Caenorhabditis elegans: one gene and its partner. The protein of the gene in region 1 purifies or fractionates together with the protein of each later gene. This does not show direct contact. Each region holds a gene or a part of one and is shown on either strand. Other genes may lie near its edges. The genes, in order: C02F12.8 and Y54F10BM.3.

The links.
Region 2: the proteins of C02F12.8 (region 1) and Y54F10BM.3 fractionate together in Caenorhabditis elegans (co-fractionation; one large-scale study listed by BioGRID). This does not show direct contact.

The regions. Positions count from the first base shown.
Region 1 is NC_003284.9:3,689,345-3,694,867, forward strand, and holds C02F12.8 (uncharacterized protein), read right to left. Parts: upstream 3,895-5,523; 5' UTR 3,890-3,894; coding exon 3,788-3,889; intron 3,735-3,787; coding exon 3,483-3,734; intron 3,161-3,482; coding exon 2,651-3,160; intron 2,333-2,650; coding exon 1,863-2,332; intron 1,815-1,862; coding exon 1,507-1,814; intron 1,462-1,506; coding exon 1,202-1,461; intron 1,148-1,201; coding exon 986-1,147; 3' UTR 799-985; downstream 1-798.
Region 2 is NC_003281.10:2,279,853-2,285,145, reverse strand, and holds the start of Y54F10BM.3 (Tyrosine-protein phosphatase domain-containing protein), read right to left. Parts: upstream 3,122-5,293; 5' UTR 3,061-3,121; coding exon 2,988-3,060; intron 2,052-2,987; coding exon 2,000-2,051; intron 1,948-1,999; coding exon 1,873-1,947; intron 1,350-1,872; coding exon 1,055-1,349; intron 916-1,054; coding exon 762-915; intron 1-761. Other genes in the region: Y54F10BM.22 (Neuropeptide-Like Protein), read right to left, coding at 3,425-3,560, 4,062-4,225.

The DNA of each region.
Region 1 (5,523 bases):
GCCTAGAGGTTCTCGATATAATAGACAAGGAGTGATTCAGAAAGAGAGATGTAGAAGTGACTGGACACTTCCGAACGAGCAACTGTTCAAGAGAAGAGACTAAGAGATCCGGATAGAAGAGCCAACTGTTGCGCCTTGTAGTCGACATGATACTACTCAACACCGGCGGTGGATATACGAATGGACGTTGTGCCACTCACCCGGGAGGGGGAGAAACATCGAGACTGCTATATCAGATAATGAGTACGCACACAGCAGTGCACATAGGATACGTTGACAAGACCCGATGAATGTGATGACGGTGAGCATAACGCTGCCGAAATGTGTACGGATTGATTGAAAAATAGATTAAGGGGGCTATCAATTTAGATTTATTGCTTTAATTTTTCAATTTGTTGTAAGCCATAAGGAAAAAATGAGCAAAAGTTGTATCCTCTTCGATAGCGTTTTTTTTTTTCAAAAGATTTCGTCAGCCTAATTTCAAAACATACAGATTGGATAAAATGTTTCAATTTCAAAAATATTTCGTAGACAAAAATAGCTATATTTAACTTCTTCATCTAGTTTCACTTAAGCACGATCTCTTTTGATTTTTTGATTTTGATTTTGATTTTGGGAATTAAATGTTTGAGGTAATAATAAATAATCAACAAAATAATAATGTCCGTCTGTCCAGTTTGCCTAATTTGTTTGTGAAGTCAAAAACGCGTCTCTTGAGTTATTCAACCCTTTCTAAACTTGAATTTAAAATTGGTAGAAGTTTGAAACTGGTTAGAGCCTCTGAAAAGATGAAGAAATACAAGACTAGACATTTTTATTCTAAAAATCTCAATACATAAATTGATTTACCCATAAAGTCAATAAATTAAAATTGAAGACAATGACACGTAATTAAATGGACTGAAAAATACAACTGAATGGTCATGGTTAATCACAGTTAAAACATCTGATCACTGGGTACAATGTGTACAAACAATAACGGAATCTAGAAAAGGTTGAAGAAAATTTCTTCGTAATACTCTAATTTGTCAGTAGAATCGCTGGTGAGACCGGCCAAAAAGCATAGTTCCGGAAGAATAGCTGGCGGCAAGTTCAGCTGAAGTTGCTCGTAGATTGTAATACGCGAGAGACTTTGCGGACGTTGAACCTGTAAATAGTCAGTTTGAGACACTTAAAAGTACCAAAATTCATTAAAACTCACCATTTTGAATGCCAAAATGCGTTTTTCAATAAACTGTAACACTTTGTTCATTTCATTCGAATTTTCTTCCCAAGTTTTCACAAAAGTATCCACCGTTTCATAGAATTTTTGATATGAGAAATTTTCGTGAAAAATTGGACGACCCGATTCTGAAATCTTCTTTGCTCTGTTAGCAATTGCCATTTGAACTGCATGCAGGATTTGGGGACTGATCAACGATGGCGGTGGATTCGAGACGGGTCTTTTTCCTCGCTTCTTTTCTGAAATTGAAAATATTAGTACCAAATGGCGATGATGAATCTCACTTTGGTCTTTCTGTCCTGAGCTTGAGTAGTCACCACCAGCTTGCTCCACATGCTTCTGTCTTTCTCGATATGCTGCTTCCAGTACATCGTCATCAGTTTCCAATTGATTTGCCTTCTGTGCAGCCATAAGGCGCTTTTCTTTTTTTGTCAACTTTTTCCTGGCGTCGGGTAGAGCAATAGTTGATGCTTCTTTGCTATCCTCGTCAATGGTGGAAGCGGCCAAAGTCTGCTGACATTTTTGCAATGGTTTTTCGACTTTTGACAATGGCAGCGGGTAGACGAGTTTTTGTGTTTTCTGTGGTACAAAACTGAAAATTACAGAATTTATCATTTTAGCAGTAATATCAAAAAATCACCATTTCTTCCTGCCCGTCGCCTCCTGCCATGATTCCAAAACGTCATCCGACGTATCCAGATACTTAATGATTTCAGATATTGACGTATCCCTGTCATCATCAACAATCAACGAGTCAGTCGTCATTTCAGATACAGGTTCAGATTTGATTTCAACTACGCTCATGTTATCCGAGTGTTCCAAAGTTTCCGGCTCAATCAGTGTTTTCGAAAGATCAAGGTTCTCCATTATATCATCAACATCATCTAATGGTGGCATTTCAGACATTGTACTGCTATAAGGTTCTGGCTCATTTGCAACACTTTCCGTGTCTACTGAATCCAAGTCGCAATCTTGCTGACCAACAGGCGTCAACGTTCCATAATCTTCGTCTTCCGATTCTTCCCTGACACTATCAGTCATGGGTGATAACGAACCATTTCCAACACTAGATCCATTGATGGGCGGTCTGCTGGACATAGATATGTCGCTCTGAAAAAACCATTTTGTAATATAGCATTATAAATTAGTCAAGTGCTGCGTGAGTGTGTTCAAGTTTAAACATTTGATCATTATCACTTTCAGGAACATTTAATGATAGTTGTCATAAATTTAGGAGTGTGTCTGATATTCATGGTCAGACAAGAAGCGGGTTACTAAAATGGTTTTAGATGCAAACCAGTTAATCTCCCAACTTTTAAATTTTTCATATAACTTCCCTAAAAGCGGTCATGTTCAAATTTTCAAATTCTGGCATACCCAAGCAGCAGTTAAGTTGTTTTTGTTGTAGTCGATAATATTGTTTATTACCTGTCCGGAAGAAAACGATTGTGATGAGCATACTGATGATCCCGATTGTGACATGGAAACGACGCATACAGGTGCGCTGACAACTCGACAATATGCAACTCCATTGTTATCATAAATAATGTCTGGGAATCCTTCGTTGGCAGGTGGACCAGAATATTGACTGTAAGACGGTGATGGAAAGATGGGAGACGAGAATCCATATCCAGAAGGTGGCTTTGAAGTATCAATTTGAGGTGGTGACATTGAATACGATCCTTGCGAAACCATTACAGCTCCGACTGGCATCATGGTTGGTGGAGCTGGCACAAATTGGGGAGGATTGTAATTCTGGGAACCAACAGGCACGTGTGGATGCATAGGCTGGTTTACAATCTGTGGGTGTGCAAATCCTGAATTCGACGCTGCCAAATCCATAGTGTATGGAGGAACAGGTTGCGGAAAGACGTTTGGATTTGATGCAAACTGTGCCGGAGGTGGCATGTAATTACCATGTTGAGCAAATGGGTGTACCTGAAAATTGCAATTGTTTCAAAGTTTTAAAGAAATTCTTATGGCCTTGGGGTTTTTAAACAGTGAAAAACTACATTTCTAAAAATTAAAACTTGTTTACTCCTCTCGATTGAAAAAAAAACCGATTTTTTCCATTAAATCAACGAGTTTCTAAAATCATTAAAAGTTTAATTGTCAGCTTTTAGTTTCGCCGTTCGCTTAATTTTTATTGCAATCTAGTATTCCCATTTCAAAAAATTATCAACGAAATAAGCTTTCAAATTGCCTGAGATTGGAAATTCTCAATATCTCATGAACAAACTTTTCAAATTGAAAAACAAACCTTAAATGAAGCATCCAACGTGCTCACCAAATTGTTCTGATATCCGCAATTTTGATAAGGATTTGGGCACTGATTATTTTGGACGGGAGCGGCGAACTGTTGCTGCATGAGATCATCAACGTCTTTTGAGTTCAACAGAACCTCATTCTCAAAATTCCACAGCGCAATAGGATCATTTGATTCAAAAGCTCTTTGAACGATTTCCCCGTAACTTGGATCCAGACGATGAAGATTATTGTAGGAAAAGAGAATCTGTAAAAAATTATTATATATAAGAATATACAAACGCTCTAAACATTATGTACCTTCTCCAATTGATTTCTTCTTTGAACACTATTCCTGAGAAAGTCCTCATGTACTTCACTCGAGTGTCCTTCGGTTTTCCAGCGAGATCTATCGTTTTGCATAGCTTCTGAACAAAGTTAACATGAAAATTTGTCAGAGTTTAAAACAACTGATAGGTGCAATATTGAGAGCCTGTTAATAATTGAAAATTTAAATTGTAGGAAAAACCGAATAAAAAAAACATATAATTTAGTGCTTACAACATTCAGTTTTACTATTTATTTTATGAGTAAAATTATAACGAATAGAAGCTGGCGGTGTCACATTTCAAAACTAGATCAAAAGATTTGCTGAATTAAAATAAAAAAGAGAAATGTTATAGCTATTTGTTTGTTTTTAACCTACTCTTGTTACCGCAAAAAAACATTGTGAGCATTTTACACAAAATTATATAATTTTTGAATTTCCTTTGCTAGTAATTGTTGGGAAAAATCAAAACAAATTCTTGAAGCTAGATTGCATTCCAAGTAACATGGTTAGTTCAAAACATAGAATTTTATGAGAAATTCAAACTTTGAAAGAATCATGCATCGCGTTGGGGCTCTCGAAAAATAATGTCTAGGTATCTAGATAGCTAGATTCATATCATAGCTATAGATTTAATTTTTGCTTGTAACTACAATTGTGGAAAAATGGGAATATAAGAGTACCATTGAAAAAAATAGCACAATGTATAAATTGCACGGTTGGCATGCAAAATTTTGGTTGGAAATTCAATGAGTAGAGCTAAAAAAGTTTTAGTTTTGCCCAAGGATAAAAAAAAGGAAACCTGACTCAATTTCTGTCAGTGGAATTTCTAATTTGGTTAGTGCATTCTGATTTGGTCAGTGCAATTACTAATTTGGTCAGTGCTTTTCGACTTTGGTCAGTGCTTTTCTATTTTGGTCAGTGCTTTTCTATTTTGGTCAGTGCTTTTCTATTTTGGTCAGTGCATAATTTTAATTTCTAACCTATTATCTGATTGAAAAAAAATTAGGAGGAACGAAGTTGAAAACTGAGGTGAACAAATGAAAGTGAAAAGACGCGCACGCAGGTGGTGGTGCTTAGTGTTTATCGTCACCCACAACAATAACTGGGTGGGTAATATGGTGAGGAAGAGGACTCGTTGGACAGGGCAAAGGGCCCCTCGGCGGATGCCACGCACGCAGCACACAAAACCCCCCTACATTCGTTCGCGCGCACACTCATAGAACACTCACACACACGCACACACACGCTCACATATAGCCAACTGCACCCCCACGTCAACAAAACACAAACACACAAACACGCACACACATGCGCTCACACGACGACACGGCATCCAGAGGCACTAGCGCAGTTAATTTTTGACGCTCTAGACTAACAATGGGACTCTTTTAACTCAATGAACATATGACAAATGTTCACGGATTCTCGTGTGATTGCGCACGAAACAGAGCGTTACGGTGGGCGCAAGGCCGTTACGGAAAATGGTAATGACGGTCATAGGTCCAATTATTATACATATGTGATAGTAAAATGTAAACAAAAACTAGCATGTTCGCAGTAAGTTTCAGAATGTAGAGAAGAAAACAGAAATCTATGTGGAAATATAATCTAGCAATCATCCTGGAACTTATCAAATGCTTTCAATGTACGACAGGTGCTAAAAAATGTAAAAATGTAGCAGAAATTTCACAGAAAAGGTAAACTAAAATCATAAAAGAACTCGCAC
Region 2 (5,293 bases), on another chromosome or scaffold:
AAAAACAAAATTTCAAAATTTCCAAAAAAAATTAATTTCGAAAAAAAAATTTTTTTTCAAAATTTTTGTTTCAAAAACTTTTAAAATTTTCTACGAAACCGATTTGAACGTTTCAGATTAAAAATTGCAAATTCTTGGGTCCCACCACGAAAACCAGAGTACTCCCGGCGGCATTTTCGTGGCGGGACCCAAAATGTGCGGAACCTAGTCATGATGGGTTTTATTTTAAAGGTCTCAATGTGATTATTTTGAATTTGTTAATTATTTCTCAGTTGGTGCAAAAAAAGTCTAAAAATTTAGAAAAAAATTAAAAAAAAAAAAATTTTTTTTTGAGATTTTTGGAAAACATAAAAAATTTTTACAATTTTTTGCTCATTTTTTAATTCAGCGTGTCAAGACTTTCCATTTAACACCCATATTGACTAAGCTCCGTCCACTTTGAAAACTTGGGGACCCAAAACAGGCGAAACCTAGTCATGATGGGTGTTATTTGAAAGCTCTAGGCGTGCTAAATCTGAAAATTCACGCCAAATCGGTTTTGAATTGAAAGTTAGCTCGAGCTTTCAAGAAAATAAAAATTTAAAAAAAAATTTCAAATTTTCAAATTTTATTTTCAAAACTACATAACTCTGCGAATTTTAAAGATATTCGATTGAATATAGTCTTAAAATGAGCGCAATCTTTTTGTGAGTTTAATGTTTAATTTAATAACTTGCAATGTTTAAAGTAAAATTTCTTAAAACCTGATTTTAAAACCATACCTGACTTGCCGTGCCATCCATCTTCCAGCTGATAATCCTGCTCATCCAATGCATTTTCCGTCTTTGGGTCCGAATCTTTATCAATATCAGGGCCCGTTTGTCTTTCCACCCACACTTCATTTTCTCGAAGCTCATTTTGTGGCTTTTTGAATTTCTGAAAAAACAAATTTTTTTACAAAAAAAATTTTCAAAAAAAAATTTTTTTTTCGAAAACCCATAACTTTGTTCATTTTCAAGATTTTTCCTTGATTTTTGACACGTAAATTTTCAAATTTTTTCGGAAAAATCTCTACCTCTTTATTTTTCACGATCACATCCTCCATCGGCAGCAGCTCGACTCCACCCCGTTTCAGCGTCACCTCCTTTACATGTTTCAGCCATTTGGCTGATTCTCTCGGTCTTTTTGCAGGATCCACACCTCCAGCGTTTCGATTTTTCGAAGCCGAAACTTCAGAAACTCGTGCCAGACGCCTTTCCCAAGCCTTTTCCCTTGCCATTTTCTCGTCGCGCCATTGTTGAACTTTCCAGTAGCAATATGCTCCAAATGCTCCAACAAACGCAGATTCCAGGAAAAGTACAACAAGCCAGCTGAAAAATTACAGAAAATTTGCGAAATTATCGATTTTCTTTCGAAATTATCGATTTTTTTCGCGAAATTATCGACTTTTTCGTGAAATTATTGATTTTTTCGCAAGAAAATCGATAATTTCGCGAAATTATCGATTTTTTTCGCGAAATTATCGATTTTCTTGCAAAATTATCGATTTTCTTGCAAAATTATCGATTTTCTTGCGAAATTATCGATTTTCTTGCGAAATTATCGATTTTCTTGCGAAATTATCGATTTTTTCGCGAAATTATCGATTTTCTTGCGAAATTATTGATTTTCTTGCGAAATTATCGATTTTTTTGCGAAATTACTGATTTTCGATAAAAGAAATGACGCAAGTTATCGATTTTTTGAACAAAAAATCAATAAAAATTATTGATTTTTCTTCAAAAATCCGACCAAAAAAATCAATAAAATCAACATAGATTATCGATTTTTCGAAAAAAAAAAACCAATTTTTCGCCGCCGAGCAATTATCGATGTCAAATTTTCACAACTTACACTTCGATTGGAATTAGGTCGAGAATGTCGGTCAGCGAATTAAACTGTTCAGCAGGTGGTGGTTTGGTTGAGGATCTGAAAAAGAGCGGTCATCGGGATAAACTAACGGGACAACGGATAGACTTACACTGGTGGAGTTGTTGAGGTCGGCGGGGCGGGTGTAGGCCAATCGACGAAACCTGGAAAAAATCAATAAATTTTTGTTGAAAAATCGATAATTTCGCGAATAATCGATAAATTATCAAAAATCGATAATTTCGCAATCGCAATGGCCACGTGGCTTTTTTTTACCGTCCTCTCCACGTCATTTTCAAAAAGAAATAAATAACAAACTCCACGTGTTCATCGAAAATATCAAAAATCGATAATTTCGCGAAAAAATCGATAATTTATCGAAAATCAGTAATTACGCAAAAAATCGATAATTTTTTAAAAATCGATAATTTTTTAAAAATCGATAATTTTTTAAAAATCGATAATTTTTTAAAAATCGATAATTTCCTGGAAAATCAATAATTTCGGGAAAAAAATCGATAATTTCGCGAAAAAATCGATAATTTCGCAAGAAAATCTGCCTCTTCCTATATTAAATCCTGAAATTGCATTCTTGACAGAAATAAAAAATAAGGGCAACTTTTCGACACGTGAGAAAATCGATAATTTCGCAAGAAAATCAATAATTTCGCGAAAAATCGATAATTTGGCAAGAAAATCAATAATTTCGCCAAAAATCGATAATTTCGCAAGAAAATCGATATTTTCGCAAGAAAATCGATAATTTCGCCAGAAAATCAATAATTCCGCGAAAAATCGATAATTTCGCGAAAAAATCGATAATTTCCCGAAAATCAATATTTCGCGAAAAAATCAATATTTCGCGAAAAATCGGTAATTTCGCCAGAAAATCGATAATTTCCCGAAAATCAATATTTCCCGAAAAAATCGATAATTTCGCGAAAAAATCGATAATTTCGCAAGAAAATCGATAATTTAGCAAGAAAATCGATATTTCCGCCAGAAAATCGATAATTTCTCAAGAAAATCGATAATTTCCCGAAAAATCCGATAATTTTGTAGAATCGAACCGTATCTTGGCGTCAAACCCCCGTACTTACTTAGCTCATATGGTTCCACGTGGCAGATGCCAAAAATCGATATGGTCACCAATAAAATCGACCACAATTTCATCTTGAATATTGTGAAATAAATTTTTCAATATCGATTTATCGACTTTCGAAAATCAAACGACGTGGTTCCCGACGTGGAATGTTTTTTGGCAATTTTTGAGTTTTTACGTTTTTATTCAATTTTTTAAAAATTTTGTAACTTTTTTAGTTTTTGAGATATTTTGTTCATTTTTGGCTTAAAATGTGCGAAAACTACCCACGTAAAAGATAAAATAAAAATTTTAGAAATTCCGGTAAAAACTACAGTACCCCACAACTTTTCGTGACGAGACCCAAAAAAAAATCAAAAAAAATCAGAAAATCACAAAAATTTATTGTGCGTCGTAGAAAAAAATCATGTCATTTCATAAATCAATAATATCGATTTATTTGTCGTTTGGCGGAGCCGCAAAGCAGTTTGGCGGGAACAGTGAAAACGAGTGGAATGCACTGCAAATCGAGTCTCGCCACGTGGATTCGTGGTGCTCCGCTTTGAAAAATTGCTGAATTCTGTGGATTCTTCTGGAAAAAATTAAAATTTTTGGTTTTAGAAGTTATTTTTGGATTCAGCGTGATTGATTACCCTTATCTATAGGTTTTCAGAGCTCTAGCTCAAAATCTCAAAATTTTGAAATTTGGCTGAGTAGCGACTCAGAACTGCGATACGGAGTCATAGTTTTGAAAAACTAACATTATCATTAAATTTGCCATACTTGGAAACCCAGAATCCTAAATTTTTAGCCATTTGCACTAAAACTGACCAAACTCCGTATCGCAATGGGTCGCTACTCAGCCAATTCTTGAAAATTGAGCTAGAAGGCCCAAAATTTTGGGATAGGGGTAATCAATGACGCTGAATTCAATAAAATTAAAGAAAACATTTAAAACTTGAGATTTCGACCAAAAAAATCGATAATTTGGCGGAATTATTATTTTTAAACAAGTTTTTTTCAAAAAAATTTTTTTTTTAATTTTTCCAAAATTTCAAAAACCTTTCTATTAGCAAAAAATCAATGAACTTACTCAATTTTTGTCTCATTTTTCCTCAAAACTTGATAATCCTCAGCACTCAGGTCATCCGAGTGTACAGAGTTCAACGATGCACCATAATTGATAGGTAGAGTCAGAATTTCAGAAATTTGAATAAAAAATATCAAAAATAATAAGGTTACTGTAGTTTTTCGCATGTTTTTTTGAACTTTTACATAGAGAAAGTGTAAAAAGTTTTTAGGGAAAAACTTGAAAAATCAAGTTTTTAAATACTTTTCTCACAGTCAGCGGGGGGTGGAATTCGTCATAAGACATGATGACGTCATAGGATCAATTTTGATATCTTTTATCAGTTTTTATCAGTTGCTACACGTGAGAAACAATGAAAAATTCCATTGTTTTGATGTTTGGCAAATCTGAATTCGCTGAATTCTTAGTGTACCTGAAAAGGGGTAGAGGGATACATTTTGCACCTAAGCAATGGGTGCAGATTTTTTAAAATCAATTTTAATATAGCGAAAAACTTCAACAAAATCAGTAAAATTAATTTAAGTTTGAAAAAAAAAATTTTGAAAATTTTTTTCCAATTTTTCAAAAAAAAAAACAAAAATTTTTTGGGTCTCTACACGGAAAGTTATGGGGTACTGTAGTTTTACGGGTTCTTGTAAATTCCTATGTTATATTTTATGGAAAAATATTGAGGGTACTATTTAAAACTAATCTAGGCTCAGAATCTTGAAAATTGGCAAAGTTATGGAGTTTTGAAAAAATTGAAAAAAAAATTTTTTCAAAATTTTTTGGGTCCCGCCTTAAAAAGTCTTTTGGTACTGTAGTTTTATGAGTTGCTATGAATTACTGTACTAGATTTTAAAGAAAATCATTTAGAGCGCTATTCAAAATAAATTTGAGCTCAAAATCTTAAAAATTGACAAAGTTATGGAGTTTTGAAAAAAAATCAAAAAAAAATTTTTGTTAAATTTTTGGATCCCGCCACGAAAAGTGTTGTGGTACTGTAGTTTTATAAATTGTTTTAAATTTTATTGTCAGATTTCATAGAAAAATATTTAGAGCTTTAATAAAAATAAATTTGAGTCAAAAATCTTGAAAATTGACAAAGTTATAAAGTTTTGAAAAACAAATATTTTTTCGAAAAAATTTTTGGGTCTTCTCACGAAAAGCATTGGGGTACTGTAGTTTTACGGGTTTTTGTTAACTACAATATTACATTGTATAGGAAAACATTTTGGGCACTATTCAAAACAAAT